Oryzias latipes: one gene and its partners. The protein of the gene in region 5 purifies or fractionates together with the protein of the main gene of each other region. This does not show direct contact. Links are inferred from orthologs where the notes say so. Each region holds a gene or a part of one and is shown on either strand. Other genes may lie near its edges.

Region 1 (3,965 bases), on a different chromosome or scaffold from region 5:
ATCATATTTCATAATGCTGAAATTTCTTTGTTTTGAGAGTCATTAGAGAAGAATGTGCATTTCATCCACTGGCTAATTTCCACATAAAAGTATAGATCAATTAAAGTCTAACACCTCATTAAACCAAATATTTTTGTTTCTAAAAAAAGTTGTTCAATGCACTCTGTGCAGTTCAGCAGGAATTATTTCATGTCACAAAGACTCCCATCCTGATTCAATGCACACTATATAAACAGTATGAAAAACAGTCCTTATCTTTATAGCAGGTCCTTAAACATAATGCAGAAAAAAGTTTCATTTTAAGGGAAATGTGCAGGTGATGTTGGCCCTACATTCCTGACCAGAACCACCGACTCACTCGAACATGAAAATGTTCCTTTGCTTTGAATATTTGCCTTATGTACTCTAGTCTACAAAATACAGAAATGTGTTTTTTAATGGGATACTTTCTAAATCTAAGCAAGCATAAAACATGTCAAATAAAGTTTAAAAAAAGAGAGGCTGGATCCTGCAGACTAACAACACAGTTAGCGTGACTGCTATGACTCCAACAGGAGAAAGAGAAACGTAAGAGAACTGTTGTTCACTGACTCCATTATAAGCATTGTTGGGTCCGTCTCTTTGACTTAATTGCTACTTTTAGATGGAAGGAAACACTTTATTTTTCAAAATAAAATGTTTATGTGTAAAATACTGTGTTATTTAATCCTGCAAGACAAGAGATTGACATTTGCAAATAAATATTAAAAGGAAGACTCCTTTCAATCATGGACAACCCAGAGCATCCTCTCCACCCTGTTCTGGACAAACAGCGGAGCTCCTTCTCTAGGAGGCTCAGACAGCTCCGCTCCAAAACTGCCCGGTACCAGAAATCGTTCATACCCAATGCAATAACCCTGTACAACAAGTCACAATGCAAAAGATAACCTTTGCACAGTTTTTATTAGCTATTTATTTATTTATTTTTTCTATTTTGCACATTTCTTTTGCACATCTTTTTACCTGCACTGTTCTGTAAATAGCTTTTTAAATTATACCACCTTGTTTGCATTTATGCTACATTTTCTTTGTTCTTGTTTTTTTAAATTATTCTTAGTCTTTTTTCCCCTCTGCTGTCAGTTGCTATGGTGACAAACAAATTTCCCACGTGTGGGATCAATGAAGTATTTCTGATTCTGATTCTGATAATCTTTGAATGAAAGCCATTTTTGTGAAGTGACCAGCAGGTGTCATTGAAACCTTGATGTAAAAAAAAAGTTTTCAGGAGTTTCTTAGATGAAACTTCAGTTTTGGGCTGACAACTTGACTATTTTTGGCTTTAAAAACCCACAGAAATGCCCTTTAATTTCAAAGTTTTTCTGGTAACTAATAAATACTGTAGTTTATGTTTAGAGAACCATATTTCCCCATAACATGGGAAATTCCTTTTTTTTTAGATGCTTCAACAAAAGTCAGTGCACTCATTCTTGGAAACATCTAAACTAGGGGGTTAGATTCATTCTTGTTTCCACATGTTTGATGTAAACCATTTATGACCATGAGGGCTCAAAATCAATTATAGTTAAAGAAATTTAAAGATCTGACAAAGTAAAAATGTGTGGGTTTTTTTTTTTTTGGTCCTGTGAAGTTCCTGAGTTCAAATGAAACAGAAGTCTGACGTAAAATAAGAATGTCATACATCTTTAAAGGAATACTTTGACTTGTTGTTCTCCCTGAAAGTCGAGTGAAGGACATGAACGTAATGCTTTTGCACTCACAGCTTCAGGCTCAGAGCCAGTCGCGCGCACTTGAGAGATGATGAACAATGTTTGCGGGAGCTGAACATGGGAAAACTCCTCCCCGCAAAGAGGATCTCCGGGCTGGCGGACTCAGAGAGGGATCTGTGAGGCTGCGCTGACAAATCCCACGGAAAACTTCACGGAGGACGAAGTCCAGCCTGATCTGGAGGAAGTCGGGGTGTCGGTGATTGGGTGAGAGCGCGCTGGGAACTTAATCACATGTGATTTTACAGAAATGCTGCAAAGATGGCGGTGGTAGCAACGGCCGGAGTTGCGAGCGCCGGCTCTGGGGCGCAGAAAAGTGGATTCGCGGAGGTTCTGGTGCGGGAGAGCTGGCACAAAGTTTTGGTCAACTTGAGCGTGGACGCGCTCACGCTGAGCTGCGAGGACGACGGCGCACAGGACAACTTCAACGGCGTCACAAATGGATCTTACCTTGATAACAGGAACGCCAACTCAAATAATGGCCCCCAGGCGGTGCGCACCGCGTTCACGGACCTCCCGGAGCGAGTGCCAGAAGCGATCGCCAACAAGAAGCGGTGCGTCAAGGTGACCAAGCAGGAAGTCGGGGGACTCGGGATCAGCATTAAAGGAGGGAAAGAGAACAAAATGCCTATTCTCATTAGTAAGATCTTCAAGGGGCTTGCAGCAGACCAGACTCAGTCTCTGTATGTCGGGGACGCCATCCTCACCGTGAACGGCATGAACCTGCGGGACGCGACCCACGACGAGGCTGTGCAGGCGCTAAAACGAGCGGGGAAGGAGGTGACTCTGGAAGGTAGGTCAGAAAGGAGGACAGGGAGTCCCAGGCTTTTTTTTAGATTTCCTTTACCTGCATGCACATTCCTAAATTAATGGCTATGCGGTTCCAAAAGTGCCTTAATCCTGTTTAAATGACCACTTGTTGAAAGCAGGGACGGACATAAGCATGGGCGGGGGGCGGGGGGGAAGTGCCCCACAAATGAGGTGACTGTCCCCCCAAAATTCAAAATCAACTACAAAGAAGATGGAAAAAAAGACAAAATACAAATAAACAACCCCCCTCCCCACACACACAAAATAAATAATTACAAATGTAAGAAGAAGAAAAAAAGATTCATGTCGCACAAGATGCATATTGCTACATTGCCCGGCCCGCACGTGTTTTAAGTACGATCAGTGCTACATTTTGATGTTGGTCGCACATTTTTTTAAGGGGTAATTGTAAAACAGGAATGATCACCAACTGGCACATAGAATATTTAAAGTTTGTGTACATTAAGCCACATAGGCTCAGCATTCAAAATAAATGCGAGCAAGAAAACAGTTCAGCACGGCCCTCACATGGTTTAGAAATTACGTGTGTATAGTCACTTCCAAAAATAAAAGACAAAAAAAACATGTAAGGATGGGCAGATGGACAGACAGACAAATAGACATAAAAAAAAAGATAAATGCTTCCTCAACCAGTGTTCTGCTTGTGCCTGTCCCAAGCCCGGTAAATGGAGTACGTAGTGTCAGGAAGAACATTCAACATAAATCTCAGGAAACATATAAAAGGAGAAGATAGATACATGGATAGATGAACTGATATGATGACAGCATAGTTTTCAAAGCTAACGAGGAAGCAACAAAATGTTGCAGTACCTCAAATGACCAGAGAGGCTTGTGCTTAGAGGGAGCAATTTCCCATTAATGCCACCCCTTAAAATGAACCCCTTTAATGCCTGGTGACATCAATGGTTTCATATTTAATACATAAATGGTATTTTCAGATGATGGTTGTGGTGGATTCTGGATACAGAGCTTGGATGTTTAGCTCGTTTCCTCCATTTTAGCTTTAGCATCTACTATATATTTGGGTTTATGTTGAGAGGTAAACTGTTTTAACACGCTCTCTGGGAGTCCTCTGTTATCTTTTTTCCAGTAAGTACTAAATAAACTACTTTATATTTCATGTAAATACTCGTAAAAAATATTATGATCATTTCTGTTTGTTTCAATAATATGATTGAACTTTTTTTTTTAAATGTCCTTCCATTAATATCTTTCATTAGTTATTTTGATTTGTAATGTTAAAAAGTTTTACATTTCCCTCGTATTATAATTTATGTTGTTTTCTTGTATAAAGGTTATAATACATAACGACAGGATTCAGAAATTCTACAGTAAATTTTAAAATCTATTGATGTAAAGTGACAGAAATCA
Region 2 (3,500 bases), on a different chromosome or scaffold from region 5:
CCTCAGAATACCAACTGTATTACAGAGTCTGCAATGATGTGGATGGTCTGGATTTCAAAGGGAGATGGACGATGCGGGGGGGGGATGCACTTTCAAATAAGAACCACAGAAGATACCTTTCCAACACATTAGAACCATTAGAACATATATGGATCTGCAGGTGGATGCATCAGAATGGAGTTGAACAGGGAGCTGGTGGCCCACCCAGAGTATTTTCTACGTAACAAAAACGATCCTTTCCCAACTGTATTTATTTTACCTCTCCTGAATCACCACTATTTGAAAAAAACACAATTGCAGTTTTAATCTCAATTTTCTTTATATATGCCTTCCATCATCAATAAAATGCTAAGAACATGTTAAAAGCACCAAAAACATAATTTTCATTGTTTTTAAGCTGCAGAGGTACAGTAAATGAATTATGGGTTAAATATATAGCAGTTTTATTCCAAATATGATTGAGGTGAAAGTCACATCAAATATGTCCTTAAAATACATCAGAAACCTCAAAGTATATAGTTTTTAGATTAAGGACTTCCAATATGAGCCCAAACATTTAAATTATGTAATTTAAAAAAACAAAATACATTAAATCATATAAAGCAAATGTATCCCAATAAGTAATTTTATCTTAAAAATTCTGAACCTTTTCTTCTAAATTCAGAAATGTCTAATGCGGTGAATGCTATTCCACACAAAAGGGTCAAGGGTTCCTCATCGCCCTTTAAAAATGGGCTTTGTTACATGGTCCCACCCCCCAATTGTTATGACTTAGTGCTTTGCCCCACAGCTCCCTGGCACCACAGTTTTCTGTTCTGATCTATCAGGACTGGAGCTGAACAATCTAACTTTAGGAAGACATATTTAGGGGAATGGAGTGACTGTTAATGAAATAATGCAGCCTGGGAGCTGAAGGCATAAAGTACCACTTAGACGTGGGAGATGATTGTAAGTTCAGTCTATGTTTATGATGAAGACTTGCTTATAGGACAAACTCTCCTCAATGTAGAACATCCATCTTCAACAGGGGTTCATTTAATTAGATTGTTTTTTATATAGAACTGTTTTGAAGTACAATACTTGTCTGACTGAGTGAATGCACGGGTGTGCCCTTTTCTACTTGCTCCTTTCAAAAAAAAAAAAGTACTTTATAGACAAAGTTGAAGAAAATGTGGTTGAAATAAGTAATAATTACTTGAGGTAAATGTATCTGTTCCATGTAACTTCTGAGAATGCAACCTGTACTGCAACTAAATAACCATGAAAACATATTTGCTACAGATGAGACCACCAGAATAAACCTGTGCTTTAATGAGGAGCAATGTAAGGTTTAAATTGACATTATCACACCTTGTCTTAATCTATACATTTTTATTTAGAGTTTGAAATAAAGCACTTGATTCATAAATCCTATTAGATTCAAAAGCTGAAGTGGATAAAGCATTTCTGTGCATTAGTAAGAGAAATTCTTAATTAAATATGAACAAAAAGGAAACTTTGGGATTAGCAAATAGATAGTTTTGCATATATTGATAGTTATTAGTCTGCAGGTGAGGCTGCAATTATAATAATGTTAAAGACTTTTCTGCAGTAATATAAAAACTGCTGTTTAGAGAATAAATTAAAATGTAGGGAAAAAATACATTTCAATCAACGAAACTAAAGTTGGACTTTGTATTAAATCATTATTTAGTTAGTTGGAAAAATTAACTAAGATTTTTAATCATTTCTGTATTTATCCACGACATTTCCTCTTAAGACTTTTTATATTATTTTTGGTCCTTTTATTTTATTTTAAAAATGCATGGTGCCAATCTTCTACTCCAGCTCCAATTTCCTCAAGATTGAAAAACCTTTTGACAGAAGTCTTAAAACTGGAATGTTTCCACAATCTCCATCTTCTAAACTGAGCAGAGGGTCACCTGGTGCAGCAGTTGTCGGAGGCGGTGGAGCTGAGACTCCAGTTGCTTGTTGTGGTCTTCCAGGATGTGCATGCGAGCCTCCAGCCGACCTTTGTGCTGCCGCAGCAGCTTGGCCTCGGCTAAGAGGTCGGCCTCGTCGGGGTGGGCTGAGGAAGCCTCGGATAGGCTTCCAGACGGGGCCCCTCTTTGGCCATGCTGCTCCTTTAACAGCTCATATTCTCTCTGCAGTGTCCTGAGAAAACAGGGAAAAAAATCAACAAGGTTGTAAAGTGAAACAGGAAGAATAGCTTTTCCACTTATTTACTTTGTTTATTTGCTTTCTATTACAGTCATGTAGTAGATCTTTGATCAAACACTGCCAAAGGATGTGCGCCGCAAAACATCATTATCTACTCGATCTCTGCAGAACCACATGTAAGTTTGACAACAATAATCTGAGCAACATTATCTCATTTGTTTACACAACAAAATGTGCAATAATTAACAATATAGAGACATTACTATTGAATATGCACACTCTATGAGACAAGTATGTAACAAGAAGAAACACACATGTGTAAGCAAAACTGAAATTAAGAATTCATATTTTTCTTAACCCGTGAAGACAGAACATGTTATTGTACTCTAAATGATGAAGGAAAAATTGGAAAATTAATGAATCATAAACAAATTTTATCCCTCTAGCACGTACTTCCTTTTCTTTTAAGCAGTGGATTGCTTTTAGTGGAAAAAAAACCCACATTCTGTCTCCTTGCACCTCAAGATCTTTAATCTCAGAACCGTCAACTCCAGTGTTTTACGTAAGATGGCACTTGTGAACCTGGCAGCAAAGCTCTTCGTCTCTATAACACTCTCAGGAAAAGTGAATGGTAAATCACTCCATTGGAAGCACAGTTTTTTTTCAGAAAGCATCCATGCAAGCCAGAAAAAAGCCCCAAACTTTGTCTGGGAACAGAGTCACATTACCCATTTTTAGTGAAAAACTACCTCTTTGCAATCAGCCTGTAAATTCTGTAGCAGGAAAGGTCTGAAGAGTACATCATTTTTAAAATCTGGTAACTTCAGATCAAGTTATCATCTGAAAAACGACCATCCATTTTAAGACGATTATCCCAAAGTGTGCAATATTCCTCTGGTATTTCACATCTCTGGTGCTCACCTCTGCTCCTCCTCCAGACGAGCAATAATCTTCTCCAGCTCCCCTCTTTCCTCCTTCTCCACAGCCTGAAGGATCTGGGCAGGACTCTGAGGCTGGCTGCTCAGGGAGCCTTCCCCTCCCAGAGTCTGGCAGTACTGAATGATGAGGGCATGTTCATCATCCCTGTGGACAGCAGAGAGTCAGCGATGAGCAAGGGCATCTTGTTTCTGTCCGTCACTTCGCAGTCTCAGTCTGTTCGGTTAAGAGCATGCAGCTCTTTAAAAGAAAAGGCAAAATTTAGCAGAATGTTGAACTATTTAGGTTCCCAAGTGACAAAGCAAGGGCCACTGAAGAAAAACACAGAGAAAAAAAAAAGTTCTCTCTAGTTTTGAGGCAGAACAAATCAATTAAAAAAGAACAGTTAAATAATCTGTGTAATT
Region 3 (3,500 bases), on a different chromosome or scaffold from region 5:
AAAATATATATAAAACATGGACAAAAAATATATAAAAATAATATCATAATCTCTTGATGTTTTGTTATTTAAACAAAACTGTTTGACATTGAAACATTATGTGGTGACTAAAAATGTCAACCACTATAGTTGTAAATCTAGCTGCAGTAACATTTTGACTGCATGCTTCCCAAAGATTTCCCACATTTATGCTCTGTAAGGACTTTAGCACTAATCCAACAATAGTTAATCCTTTAGCTTTAGCCTATTTCAACTATTTCCCACTAATATTTTGATTATGTTATAAAATAACATAAAAAGTAAGTTCTGCCTCAATGAATTCAATGTTTTCCAGTGATGTTAAAAATTCACAATAGCAATTAGGTTTAATTATTTCATATCTTATTAATATGTTGGATAATCTAATACTAAAGTTGGATGGCTGCTGTTTTACAGCAGTAATGACACTTTTTCTTTTGTTAATTAATAAAAAGATGGCCATCAAATCATTGTTATACATATCAAAAGCTCTGCTATGTAATTTTTAAACCAGAAGATGTTTTATAAGATCAATAAAAACATTGTTTTGAAACACATAAAGTCTAACGGTCACACCAAAGCTTACGCCTTAGTCACAGCTGGCCTTACGGGTGGATTCGGACGGTCTGCAGGTGAAAAACGGGCAAACCTGTGCAGGTGGCCTGCATGAAATGTTAAAGTCATAAGTCGCTCATTGAGTCAATAGAGCGAAAATGTTCGTGCCCATTTTTTTCGACTGATTTTTTATTTCTCCACCCCCCAAAGCCTGTGGACTGCGCAAGGTGCCGGTTAGTGCAGTTCAAATGAGAAGTGCACACCCCTGCAGCTTGCCTGTTAGAAACTAGAAAACGAGACAGGGTGCAGTTTATGTGGGTGTCCTATGGGCGTCCTACAGGCACTAACCTACTGTTTCACGTGCACAGTCCATGCATGCAGCATTTGTAATTGGTCAGGAGATAGCCGGTACTCGCACCTTACCACCGACTATAGTGTGGCGTGGGGCACCGCTCGACAAAAAAACTTCACACTATATTTGCCACACGTGCAAAAATGGTATGTTCCACTTTTATCACATGCCTTGAGGTTAGGGCTGCACAATATGAGGAAAACTCGCAAATTGCGTTATCAGTGATCAATATTGTGATGACGATACACCTTGCGATACATGTACACATAGCAAAACAACTAAAAACGTCATTTCTATTTTGCTGCAACAGTTTAATTCAAATAAGAGTCAACACACCTTAAATTACACTTCAAATGACCCTAGTCTAAATTGGAGGCGGGCATCCGCATCCGCGGTCAAATGCATAAAGGGATTTATTTGATTTGTTAAATAATTCAAGCTGCCATTAGATTGTTTTAGCACAGTTTAAGGTACAACCCTATAACCTGCAGCATGCGTACCGGTCAATCCTGACTAAGGCCTTACGCAGAAAGCTATCCTATGATCATTTTATAGGTTTTATAGACATCAAACATAAGCTGTTGCTTGTATAGATAGAATGATTGAAATATTTAAATTTATCCTTGATAAAGAAATTTATTTCCAACGATATGTGCCCAAGCGTGTTACATACTTCTCAACAGCTTCAAATATATCCAGCAATTATCTCCTGGATGCCAAAATACACACAATACATGTGTTTTGCAGGATTCCTGCTTTTGTGACGCCTGAAAAACAACAATGTCCTCATGTAACAAAACTGACTTAATAACCTAAGACCCAGAACATGTTAAGTGTGGTGAGGATGACACTAAAACAAGCACCGTTTTAGCAACCTCCTTTTTGAATTTAATAAGAGATTAAACAAACAACAAGCTGCAGGGTGAGTAAAACCAATGACTCAGGATGACTAAGCTTGTGAGCAACAAAGAAAATAAGCAGAAAAAAAATCTTAGTAAAAACTGTGGAAAACACTGCTGTTTTTGGAACACTGTGCATCGCTGATACTCTATTTTGAAGCATTAATTGTTGATTGAAGGAACAAAACATGTGCAATGAATTGCTCTGTGTGCTAGAAACAGGTCACGTAAAGTGTATGAGTCAGATCTCTCGTCAGCTTGAACCATGTAGTGGCTCAACAGAGGACATTCATGAAAAAATCTGAAATTCAACATTTTCTAAGTTTAGGAATGAAAGTCAAAGTATTTTCTGATACATTTTCTTGAGCCTTGTGTTAAATATTCTTCCAGCTATGTACTTAAAAGAGTGCTACTCCCTCCTTACATTATCAGAAGGACTTTCTTTAGGTTATGAAAGGGAGCAGTGTTTCCCAAAGAACCGCACATGACAGGTGCAGCCATTGAGGAGTTTCAAGTACTGCCATTAATCTCAAGTCAATCTTCAAAAAAGCTACGTTAATAAGCAACTAAAAGACTAAAGGAGTCCCACTTCATCGGAACAAGCACACAGTTTTTTCTAAGCGACAGCAAAGAAAACCTCAACCCCAGCAGAGACTAATAGTAGCATTCAGTGCTTAATCGTATGAGCCGCCAGTTAGTTTTTTTACATTTCTGAGTGAATGAAAAGCTTGAAAATAGACACTCCAAACTTATGGCAAACAATCTTCATGAACTAGCCCCATGAGAACAGCAGAGTAAACCCTTGTCTACAAGGAAGCTAATAGTTTTCCAAGAAACATAAGCACTCTACTCCATGCCGAGCAGTTATTACCTATATTAGTCCACACATGGATTTGCACACCTGTGTCACTTACCCTTTCCCTCTCAACAGATGAGGAGCGGCCCCCGTCAGGGGCTTTCTCTGTGTAACATCATTATTCTTGCTGCAAGGCAAGCCATTTACTTTCAGCTCAAGGAGCAACAAAAAGGGGTTAAACACAAATAAAGGGAGGAAAATAAAAGACGGCGCGGGTCGCATGGACACGGGGCCTTTAGGGATCACGACAAACATAAAAGATGTGTTATAAAATCCAGGGCATCTATTGTTAACCTGGCTGTACTCACTTTTTGGTGGAGTAAGGGTTCCCTGATGTAGGCATGGAGTGTGAGAACAAGTATTCATTGGCGATGTTCACTGGTCTCGGTGGCCTGAACAGGAAATAATGCTGCTTTAAATTTAAACAAACAAAGCATCTTTTTCAAAAATCTGCATTTCAGTGGACACAGGATGATACAAGATGACTGGTTATGTATCACGTATGCAACATGCATGTGTAAATGAATGATTAAACAAAGCTTTTTTTCACAGTGGATGATTGATTACAAACTGAGAGCAATGAAAAAGCACACGAGTGGGTAAAATAATCGAAACCAACTCACCACGTGTCTCTTTTTGAGGAAAGTAAAGAACAAGGGAAGCAATATTTGATTAAACATTTGCCCAGAAATTAGTCAAAATCCAAGAAAAGAGAGTGAAAACAAACAGTTTTACTAATCTGAGAATGTAGAAAGTAAACCTTAGCTATGCCTTTGTCACATGCGCCTGTTCAGGTGCTATGGGGTTTTGGGTTGTCTGG
Region 4 (3,500 bases), on a different chromosome or scaffold from region 5:
TGCAGAGTCGCAGACAAAAAAAGTCTTTTTCTGTTTCTCACACTTGTTGGAAAAATAAAAGACTCTCGCAAACAAACCATTTCTCCCTCCGGACCTCCAAAGTCAAGATAAAGGTTCCGTATTCCATCGTCGGCGGACATTTTGAGCTTCTCATAGGGATATCTGTAGAGCACCGCACCCCCCGGGGGGTCGGCCGGCTCCCTCGTCACGGTGAAGCCCATCTCGAAGTGCAGCGTCAGTCGAACGTCCTGCCTGTTCAGCGTGCAGCCTGGCAGAAAACAGCAACAGGTCAAGGTGGGAACGACCACGCCTTTCCTCACCTCAAGCTTTTAGGATACATTCAGAAAAGTGAAGCAGTTCAAAAGAAAACCACAAAAAATGGAGCAAATAAATGTCAACGGGAAAAACGGCAATTTATAGTCAGGTGAAGAACTCGATAAAACATTAAAAAAAGGTTATTGACTAAAGTGTTGAAAACCTTTGAAATTAAAAATATTTTAAATTTTGCTAAAAGTTTATTTATTGCAAAAAAAACAACAACAAGTTTGTTCTGTTGTTTAAAGCCAGCGGCGACTCTTTCAAAAAAGCCAGTTGCCCTGATGCAGCTCCCTGTGAGGTAATTTGATCTTTAAGTATTTCCATGTGTTGGATTGAGAGGACCGAGCTTTTCTGAACTACTGGGTTCCTGCGGGGCGGCCAATGGCTCGGTGTGTCTCTTCAGCTGCAGAAAGCAGCTTCTCCGTGCAGCTGCAGAAAGCAGCTTCTCCATGCAGCTGCAGAAAGCAGCTTCTCCGTGCAGCTGCAGAAAGCAGCTTCTCCATGCAGCGTTTCTCTGCAGCTTCTCCCTGCAGCTGCAGAGAGCAGCTGCCTAGAGCAGCCGCTCTCTGCAGCTTCTCCCCGCAGCTGCAGAGAGAAGCTGCTCTCTGCAGCTGCTCCATGCAGCTGCAGAGAACAGATGCACAGAGAAGCTGCTCTAGGTGGCTGCAGAGAGCTGCATGGAGCAGCTGCCTAGAGCAGCCGCTCTCTGCAGCTTCTCCCCGCAGCTGCAGAGAGTGGCTGCACAGAGAAGCTGCTCTCTGCAGCTGCTTCATGCAGCTCTCCGCAGCTGCTCTCAGTAGCTCCTTTCTGCAGCTGCTTTTACAGCTACAACTGATTTCTGCAGCTTCCTGCTGCTGTACACACCTCACCTCACAAAAAAACCTGCATGTTTACAGGAAAAAGCTTTTTTTTTTTATTGTCTGCTGGATTAGTTTGTCAAATTTGTACCCCAGAAAAAACTAGAGCATTGTAATATTTGTTGGTAAAGCTGATGATGTCATGGGCAAATGTAAAACCACATCCTGTGTTAAACCACACCGCTGCTGATGTGCACACAGCAACAACAGCACATGTGCACAGGGGCCACCGGGCATGTCAGGTGGTTCCTGACACAGCACGCATGTCTGTGTCATTTACAAAGGTGACATGTTTGCAAATAGGTTCTTTTGTGTTTTTTGGGCCGATACCGATCATCAGTAAGATGGCAGGTAACCAAATATGTGGGGCCAATATTCATTTGCAGTAAAAGTACAAACATTTGCATCAAAATTTAGAATAAGTCATGTCAGGAGCCATGCGTACCATTAGCCCTGCACGTCAAGAACCTGATTCTTTGTCATTATTTTCTCAGTGAACTCATCGGTCCGTGTCTTTAAAAAAAAAATACAACTACTTCTTATGCACCAACTATAACAAAGCTTTCAATTTAAACCACTTCTGAAAATAAGCCTGATAGCAAAAAGACGTTTAGTGAAACTTAACATAAAAACAACAATTTAAGAAAACTAAATCTGTGTTCCTATTTAAATGCTTTCCAAGTTTTCTAACAGGAAAACTTTCTGTTATCCTGTCAGAAAAGCCTTTTCATAACATAAATTCAGAGCTTCGCAGAGGTGGGTGGTGTCCTTTCAAACGCCGTCAGCTCCTCCGGGGCTGAAACCGGCACCTCACTGATCTGAATCTGACACAGTTTGCTCCACAGCTTAGAAATGAAACACACGGTTCTGGGAGAGGATCCCTGCTTCATGTGGACATTTTTTTTTTCCTGGAATCTGTTTTTGTAGAGTTCTACCTAATCGGAGGAGTATCTAAGGGCAGGGATGCCCAGTTTCGTTGAGTCTGTTTAGTAATCAGCTATTGCACTTTATGACTGATTTTAGGTTTTGTACAATTAGTGAAGCCCGTTGAGACAACTGTGTTGTAATATTTGGGCTATAGACCTAAAACTGAACTGAATCAGCTGCTCTGTAGCTGTAGAGTGTTTGTGGAACCGCCAGCAGGTTCTGCAGATGCTCCTGTGTTTGTAGCATCTGCAGAACCTGCTGGCGGTTCCACAAACACTCTCTTGAGTCTTTTATCCTTTTCTTCATTATTGATCTTCCAGGCTTTAAAGTTGAACTATACTTTGTCTATTTAGAGGGAAGTCAAATCCTCATAATGTGATCTTTTGATTTTAAACGTGTCCATTACAGAGGAGCACTGAATTCACATTTTATGCAAAAGTAATCCGATTACTCAGGTCTCTTTCAACCTGCAGACTCACCAATGGAGACCTCCTGGATGATCTCTGCAGCCGTGTGGACACCCTGCACCAGAGCTCGCGTCCAGGAGGAAAGGTCCCAGTGAGTTTCCACGCGGAAGACGTGTGACTCGATGCCTCGACTGGTGCCGGTCCGAGTGGCAAACACCATGTCCGACCCCTGGGAGGGAGAACCCCCGGAGCTGCCGGAGTGGACCAGTCTGAGGAGACACGGATGGAGGTTCGCCCTGAAGCCAGGTACCGGATTGAAGGGGTTGCGTAAAAACATGGAGCATCGTTCCTTGAGACACGATCTGACTCCACGCTGCCACATTTACAAACCAAGAGGCTTCTTTCTGCGTTAAGAAGACCGCTTTAGACTAAATTTGTATCCACTTTTTTAATATTAGAGAAGTTTTGTAGACATAAATCACAACTATATCATTTTCATTTATATAACTGCTAAAATATTATTAACATAAAGCTTTTCTTGTGATAATCTGTGCAGTAAATGCAGATTATTGGAAATAAGAAAGGTTCACATGGACTTCTCATACACAGTGTTCCCTCACTAGAATGTGCTCCACCTTCTGCAGTCTTGCTGTTTCCCCAGATTTTTTATAGTGTAAATTTGCATGTTTTTTTTGTTTTTTTTTACATAGGATTATGTTCTGCATTCTGATTGGCTGTTGACCTTGTCACTTAGTCTCCTCTGTGCCGTACCTCCTGAATGGAATGTGTAGAGTTTGCCAAATTTGAATAAATGTTCCACTGCGGGGTCTTTGTTTTCATTCCATAGTAGTAGACTTCTTCTTCTTCTTCTATCAGCTTTGAGAGTTTAAAAAGGAGAGAAAAGTGTGAAAATGTTTGTGTCTGTCCAAGAGGAGAGTATAAAGTGTGTAGCAAGGAGTCCCTAAAACATCTGTAGTCCTTCTTTTTGGTT
Region 5 (3,122 bases):
CTGCCCTAATATCAAATAACATGTCCATTGTTGCTTGGTATTTATTCTGTTTTACTTCCCTTATCAATTTAACCTGTTTTTTTATATGTTAGTCTTGGTTTCAGTAAAAAATTTCAAGTGACTGCAAAGTAAGAGCCTGACTCCTCCCCCTCTGGACAGAAAAAGATCAGAGTACTCTTGCTAGGATCAACCTAATAACAGGAAGCGATTAAGATTGATTGATAATGCCCTTTCTGTTCTTGCAGCTTCAGCTAAAAAGAGTTGGTTGTACAATTCCCACAGTATTGAGGTTTTGTTAGAAAATCTCTGACACATTCAGGTCTTGAATTTACTCTATTTTAAAATAAAAAAATGTATTGGTTGGATTTAATGGTAAGGAGGAACCAATGGGAAGAATTGTGCATGCCCTATCTTCAGGATAGGGCAGATTTATGTTTTAAACAGGGTGCTTTGGTGTATTTTGTCTGAACAAAAATCCTGATTTAATTGGACTTCTTTACCTTTTTTTTATTTAGCTTTTATTATTCATAATCATAGCATCAAAAAAGTACATGTATTTCACATTAGAGCTTATTTGGATTTACAAGTTTTACTTCATTGTTCCCCATGAATCCTACAAAATAAATCAAGTTAAGAATTTTCATTCTTCGATAACCTTTTTTGCTCACAAAACCTTCTCAAAATGTTAAAGAATGCACATGATCAAATTGAGTCCAGTGTGAAATTTCACGTTTGATATCACATTTGATACAAACAATAGAAATTGCACTCAGCAGTCTTGTCAATAAAATGCTTTACTGTCTTTAAATAAAAAAAAAATATAAAGCAAATCATTTTCCACATCACATAGGGTCAACACACTAACCTTTGAAACCAAAAAGACAGTTTTATTCAAACAAAAGGAAATAAAATTGAATTTTTTGTGCATTCTTTCTAGTTTTTCATTGTGTTTTTCTTTTGTACCTAATCCAAACACTGATTTTATGACACAGACACATGGTGCCTTAAAATCACAACAACCAGTCTGATAGGTTTGCTACTGTTGTGATCTCCACAACCTGGCTTTCACAAAATATTTCATTTTAAGAAAAGTCATAGTGAAGAATTTTAGATAATTTTGTGAAACTCTCAGAATGTGTGCCTGCTCACAGTCTTATTTGCACATTGTTTAAGAATGGCCACTTTGAAAATAAATAACTCTCTGCAGGGAGAACTCTAAATGTCGGTCTCTTTCAGGCCGTGACATTCTGCCAGATCATAGAACTGAAAACTGCCCTGCTCACAAGAATTGCAGATTCCCATTGAAACTGTGTCCACAGTGTCCCTCCTGCCCCCGCCAGGTGTGGCTCCTTTTCCTGTCCCTCCCTTGATCTTGTTGGACAGATTGTTGACTTTTTCCTTAAACTGAAAGGAGGAGTTCTGCAGAGGCGGAAAAAGGCTCCATCTCTTTAAACCGAGTGAACAACCTTTCTTCTTATGCAATAAAGAGCTGCTGCATGATTCATGCACGGCATAGCCAGGTGTGTATTCTCCCCTCTGATCCCTTGCCATTCCTTTCACAGCTGTCCGCCACCTCTGGTCATAGAAGCGGCGCAGGACCCTCCGCTTTTGATGGCACTGGCATTTGAGCAGTCGAATGAATGCTCGCTGGAACTCTTTGCTAGAGCAGGGGTAGATCATTGGATTGATGCAGCTGTTGAAGTATCCCAGCCAAAACACCACCTTGAACACAGTTTCAGAGGGCTTCAGTGCTGGGAAGACGGAACCTTGAAAGGGATGGAAACATGAGGATTAGCATCAACTGAAGCCAAATCTTTGCAGAGTAAGGACACTTTATACATTAGATTTACATGTTGGATAGTTCATTCAGATAAGTTCTTTTTTTTTTTAATCTAAATATTTTATAAGTCATAAAGAAACCATGATCTAAATTTTTTAAAAGTTTCTATTTTTGGAATTATTGATGATAGTGGGTCCTCTGCCATCAACCTCATTACCAGCAAAGCAACCTATTATGGTATTTTGCCAGATTTAGTTATTTATTTTTAAATCTTCAACAGCCTCATATTAATTTTTTGGGTAATCTTTTCTTCAAAGTTTGGTCATTTTTATTAACAAAAGCAAAAGGACATTTTGTTCATCAGAAATATGACTCTTAAGAGCTGAGGCCTGTAAAAATAAGAGGTAATGAAATATTAAGCAGCATATTAAACCTACTTTTTAAAACTGTTAAGGTGCATGGTAACAACCTGTCAGGGTCATCAGGTGACATTTTTAATAACAGACACTCTAAGAGGAAACACTTTTTAATGCTTGTTTGTGCCATTATAGCTCGTATCACAAACGCATTTACTTACACCAAAACGCAAGTATTGGTTATAAATTATGGGTTTTTGCCAATGATAATATATGAGAACTGGACAATGTGACTCCTGCCCCCTCGCATTCCAAATAGAAGGTACCCACTGGCTCCAAGAAGCCAAAATCCCATAGACTTCTACAGACGAAAACAATTCTATTACTTAGTCATTACTCAGTTCTTGCTAATCATATTTCTTTTTTTCATATTTTATTCTGAAGTGGAAATTATTCTAATTATAAACTGGCCAATCAGAGGCCTCCATTGAAGTTTGTGGTCTAACGTTGCACATTTGAAAGGTGTGACAGATTCTCCTGAGTCTGCTTTCAAATGGTAGGGGCGGCCTTGCAACAAGCTCACTCCTGATTAGCAGGAGTGGTTGCCACACATATGATGACTCAGACTGACTCAGAACAATCACTAATTACTGACGTCATCTGGCTTAAACATTACGGCATCTGTATAGTGAAAAGATGACGACTGAATTGACTTTGGGTTGTCACGGTGCCTCGGTCAGCCCCGCCCCCTCAGCTCTGCTCCTGACTTCCACCAGCTGTGACCACCTCATCTCATCAACCTGCCTACACTTAAGGAGATCCAGCCCATTCATCGACGCCAGTTCGTTAACTCCTAACGGTGACTACGCCTGGTCAGCCTGCTCAAGTCCCATGTCTTTGTCCTGCCTTGCTCTCATGTTCTGCCTCTCTGTCTCAGGATTTACCCAACGAAGGTCACCTGTGTGGAAGTCTGCCGTCACTCACCT
Region 6 (3,500 bases), on a different chromosome or scaffold from region 5:
ATTAGTTTATCAAGTCAAATAGACTTTCCGCTGAAGTATTTTATTGTTATTTCCAGTGCTTTATAGCATTCAACCAATTATTATTAGAATAATCATCAACTGAAACTTTATAATTAAAGGGAATGACTGTTTTGCTTTGAAATACACAAATTATTTTTCCAGAGAAACGTTTGGCTTGTAGAAACCTAATTTGGCCGGTAAACTTTGGATGTTACCGGCGTCCCGACTGGTAACCAAAAAAGTTCATCTAGAATTTTAGGTAATTCCACCTTTGTAGGAGCAATAAAGTTTTTTTTCCAGTCTATATATTGTAAGGACAGTGAAAAGAAGCTACCCCCCTTGTTAGTTATTTTTTAGTTATTTTATAATTGTTTAGTTTTAAAACTGTTCAAGTGTTTGTGGGTTCATTACAAACCGTGTAGTACTGTAAATGGCCAGCAGGTGGAACTAGCGCCGTCGAGTAAGAATGACGTCATGCTGGAGCGAAGGGCAGCATGAATGAGAGGGAAAGAAAAGAGATCTGAGGAGCACTGAGAGTTTGTTTTTCCAGAAAAAAATAACCCACATGTATGTGCTTGCATAAGCTGCTTTACTTGGAAAAACCCGTGAGTAAAACTCACAAAATGTGCAGTGGTGTGCTGTTCATTTAAAGTGTGCAACAATATTCTGCCCAGACCAAATTCCGATGGAATTCTGTTTCAATATGTAGCAATTTTCTTTCAATAGGAGGCAGTAAATATCTTTAATATCATAGAAAGGCTAAATCAACATTCAGAGACCTTAATTAAAGCATGTGTGAACATCTACTTTCATTAGGCGCAAAACAAATGAACAGACATTTGATCTGGCAGTTTAAACACTTTTACAATATTTAACGTTTTATATTTCCCACCAAAGCCCGCCATCAAAAGAGGGAAAAAAGAAAGAAAAAATACCTTTAAACATATCAACTGCTAATGTAAAAGCTTGGGTAAATGAACCCAATTCAATCAATCTGAAACATTTAATTTTAAGCGAAAATGTCTTTTCTTTGTATTTGTCTGCAGGTGGACTCCACCATTCAAGCAAGCAGAAGTCTAATGACAGTGGTCGCCTCCCTCCTTCCACTCTGTAACAAGCTCATCAAAAAGGTGACATCCAGACACTAAACTGAACACTAAACTCTTTAAAGTGCCACTTTAAATCCATCTTTTGATCTATTCTAAAAGCCCTCCCAGTGGTCTTTTAATTATAGTTGTGTTGTTTTTAGACAAAATCATAAAACCTGTGTCGTTTTCTAGGACATAGTTTCTGCAGAGCAGAAGGAGTGCGTTAAGAATTCACCTCTGAGTTATAGCTGTGAATGTCTTTCCTGTTCTCTCCCAGCTATCCAGCCGTACATTTTTGAACCAGATGTCACTTTGGACAAGGAAAACAAAGACGTACACGGATCAATTTGTCTACAAGTGGATGCATCAGAATGGAGCAAAGCAGGAAGCTTGTGAACCGCAATCTTATTCCAACGGCATTTTTCCGTCTGCTCCTGATTCACAAAAGCTTGAATAAAAACTCAGAAATACAATTTTAATCTGAAGATTTATATATATATATGTATATATATATATATATAGATATAGATATATATATAGATATGTATGTCCCTCATTATCAGAAAAATGCCACAGGAACATATTAAAAACACCAAAAAGACCATTTTCATAGAACTGGGTCTAATGAAAAATATCCCAAAACACAAAGATGCCGTCTAGAACAACATTCACTTCATTAAGTTCTCAGTTGGGGGAAAAGCATCAGTGTTTAAATGTCTTTGTCCCCTAATCAGAATCTCCTCTGTTGCAGCATAAATCAGAGCGTACAAGCCTCAGTTCCCCTCAGGACTGGAGGGAGACGCAGCACACGTCCGCTCCAGTTAAAAAAGACGCGGCCCTGAATGGCAATAACAGCAACGGCTTTGGAGTCAAGTCCTTGGACGAGCACATGGCCAGCCTCAACCTACTGGAGAGCAAATAATTCAGGAGATGATCTCCATGTTATCTTGTTCTCCGCATCAGCAAAGCAACCTCACTTCTGTGGAGCACTCCTGATCCAAGAAAGAGTCACTAGAAAAGTGGCTAGAAGCTGTAAAAACAGACTTTGTTGGGCAGAATTTGCCTTAGGTGGAATAATTCTGCAGTTAAAAACATAAAAGCCCAATCTGGAGGTAGTCATGCACTGTTAATCTGAAACAGTTCCATCCCAGTCCACTAGAGGACGACAATCAAAACTACCGGTAGTATTGCGTTTCCAAGAAAAGTGAGGTCATCTTAAATCTAATTTTGGAGTAACCGTCATTAGTTGAGCTAATAAAATGATCAGAAGTCAGGAAATAAAAGCCCCCCTTCAGCCATACATCTGTCTTCACCATGTGCCTCAGTGTAACAGACCTGTGTGCTTTGTGCTGTATTGTTAATGTATTGGACAAGTTACATAAGGACAAAAAAACACACAAGCTACATGATGCAGTCATCACTACAACCTTTGTGCAATCTCAGCCTGGTAACATGAACCTTTTAACTAAATGTTTTATAGTGGCCATACGAGTATTTTACAAGTTCAACTTCATTTGTCATCATTTCACGTGTGATAAGTTCATTTAGCGAAAGAAAATCTGTTCAATGCCAAATATTCTGACTACTGCAAACTAATCAGAAGTGACAGCGGAGACTTTTTTTTTTTACCTTATTTAGGAACGAAAAGGTTAAGTAAAGCTTTTTAACCCTTGTGCTATCTTAGATGACCCCACCCTTACATTGACGTCTTCTCCCTACCATGACTAAGGTGGATAAAGGTGGAAAGATTTCATGTAATCCATGGACACCAGTGAAGATCACAAATCATTGAAGAAAAAAGGTTCAGAGCACTGTCTAGTGGGTCTAGATGACCCAACTCCCAATGGTAAAGTGCCTAGGATAGCACAAGGGATAACGAGAAATTATATCAGATGCTACCGTCTTAAATATTACAGAAATTATTCAGAAGTGCCACGCATTTGTGGATACTGGGAAGCATCTGAACCACTGACTGTAAATGAGGACTGGACTGAGTAACCCCTCCCCCTGGCGTCCCAAACAGGAAGTATCCACTGGTTCCAAGAAACCAAAATCTCATAGACCTTTTATAAAGCACTAGTTAGCATTTTTGTTAGTCAGAATAATCTTTCTTACCCTGATACCTTATTTTTACATAATCTTGATAATTTTATATGTTTTTTTCTTTTTTGCAAGTTATTCAACGTATAAACTGACCAGACACCTCAATAACAGGTAACCCCCCCACATGGAACATTTAACAGATTACCCCCGCTTTAGGTGGTATAATAAGCTCACTCCTGATTGGTTAGAGGGGTTGCCATAGAAACAATGACTCAGATCGACTTGGACCAATCACTTGCTTACTGACAATTTCAGGCTCCAACAGGCAAAAAAATGACTGAATCGACTTCGTTGGAGCCAGAAGTCCTT

The links.
Region 1: the proteins of adra1d (region 5) and sntb1 purify together in Homo sapiens (tandem affinity purification; 4 studies listed by BioGRID and IntAct, with this or other methods). This does not show direct contact. The link is inferred for Oryzias latipes from reciprocal best matches to the Homo sapiens genes ADRA1D and SNTB1.
Region 2: the proteins of adra1d (region 5) and utrn purify together in Homo sapiens (tandem affinity purification; 4 studies listed by BioGRID and IntAct, with this or other methods). This does not show direct contact. The link is inferred for Oryzias latipes from reciprocal best matches to the Homo sapiens genes ADRA1D and UTRN.
Region 3: the proteins of adra1d (region 5) and dtna purify together in Homo sapiens (tandem affinity purification; 4 studies listed by BioGRID and IntAct, with this or other methods). This does not show direct contact. The link is inferred for Oryzias latipes from reciprocal best matches to the Homo sapiens genes ADRA1D and DTNA.
Region 4: the proteins of adra1d (region 5) and sntb2 purify together in Homo sapiens (tandem affinity purification; 4 studies listed by BioGRID and IntAct, with this or other methods). This does not show direct contact. The link is inferred for Oryzias latipes from reciprocal best matches to the Homo sapiens genes ADRA1D and SNTB2.
Region 6: the proteins of adra1d (region 5) and ctnnal1 purify together in Homo sapiens (tandem affinity purification; 3 studies listed by IntAct, with this or other methods). This does not show direct contact. The link is inferred for Oryzias latipes from reciprocal best matches to the Homo sapiens genes ADRA1D and CTNNAL1.

The regions. Positions count from the first base shown.
Region 1 is NC_019874.2:10,594,485-10,598,449, reverse strand, and holds the start of sntb1 (beta-1-syntrophin), read left to right. Parts: upstream 1-1,165; 5' UTR 1,166-2,024; coding exon 2,025-2,556; intron 2,557-3,965. UniProt on the Homo sapiens protein: Adapter protein that binds to and probably organizes the subcellular localization of a variety of membrane proteins. May link various receptors to the actin cytoskeleton and the dystrophin glycoprotein complex.
Region 2 is NC_019882.2:8,709,336-8,712,835, forward strand, and holds part of utrn (utrophin), read right to left. Parts: intron 3,244-3,500; coding exon 3,082-3,243; intron 2,155-3,081; coding exon 1,923-2,154; intron 1-1,922.
Region 3 is NC_019875.2:27,149,389-27,152,888, reverse strand, and holds part of dtna (dystrobrevin alpha), read right to left. Parts: intron 3,313-3,500; coding exon 3,304-3,312; intron 3,073-3,303; coding exon 2,989-3,072; intron 2,808-2,988; coding exon 2,739-2,807; intron 1-2,738. UniProt on the Homo sapiens protein: May be involved in the formation and stability of synapses as well as being involved in the clustering of nicotinic acetylcholine receptors.
Region 4 is NC_019864.2:27,650,494-27,653,993, reverse strand, and holds part of sntb2 (beta-2-syntrophin), read right to left. Parts: intron 2,779-3,500; coding exon 2,582-2,778; intron 269-2,581; coding exon 78-268; intron 1-77. UniProt on the Homo sapiens protein: Adapter protein that binds to and probably organizes the subcellular localization of a variety of membrane proteins. May link various receptors to the actin cytoskeleton and the dystrophin glycoprotein complex.
Region 5 is NC_019859.2:14,271,719-14,274,840, forward strand, and holds the end of adra1d (alpha-1D adrenergic receptor), read right to left. Parts: intron 1,767-3,122; coding exon 1,216-1,766; 3' UTR 501-1,215; downstream 1-500. UniProt on the Homo sapiens protein: This alpha-adrenergic receptor mediates its effect through the influx of extracellular calcium.
Region 6 is NC_019869.2:9,199,866-9,203,365, forward strand, and holds part of ctnnal1 (alpha-catulin), read left to right. Parts: intron 1-1,046; coding exon 1,047-1,130; coding exon of another isoform or gene 1,131-1,148; exon of another isoform or gene 1,149-1,199; intron 1,200-1,839; coding exon 1,840-2,010; 3' UTR 2,011-3,500. UniProt on the Homo sapiens protein: May modulate the Rho pathway signaling by providing a scaffold for the Lbc Rho guanine nucleotide exchange factor (ARHGEF1).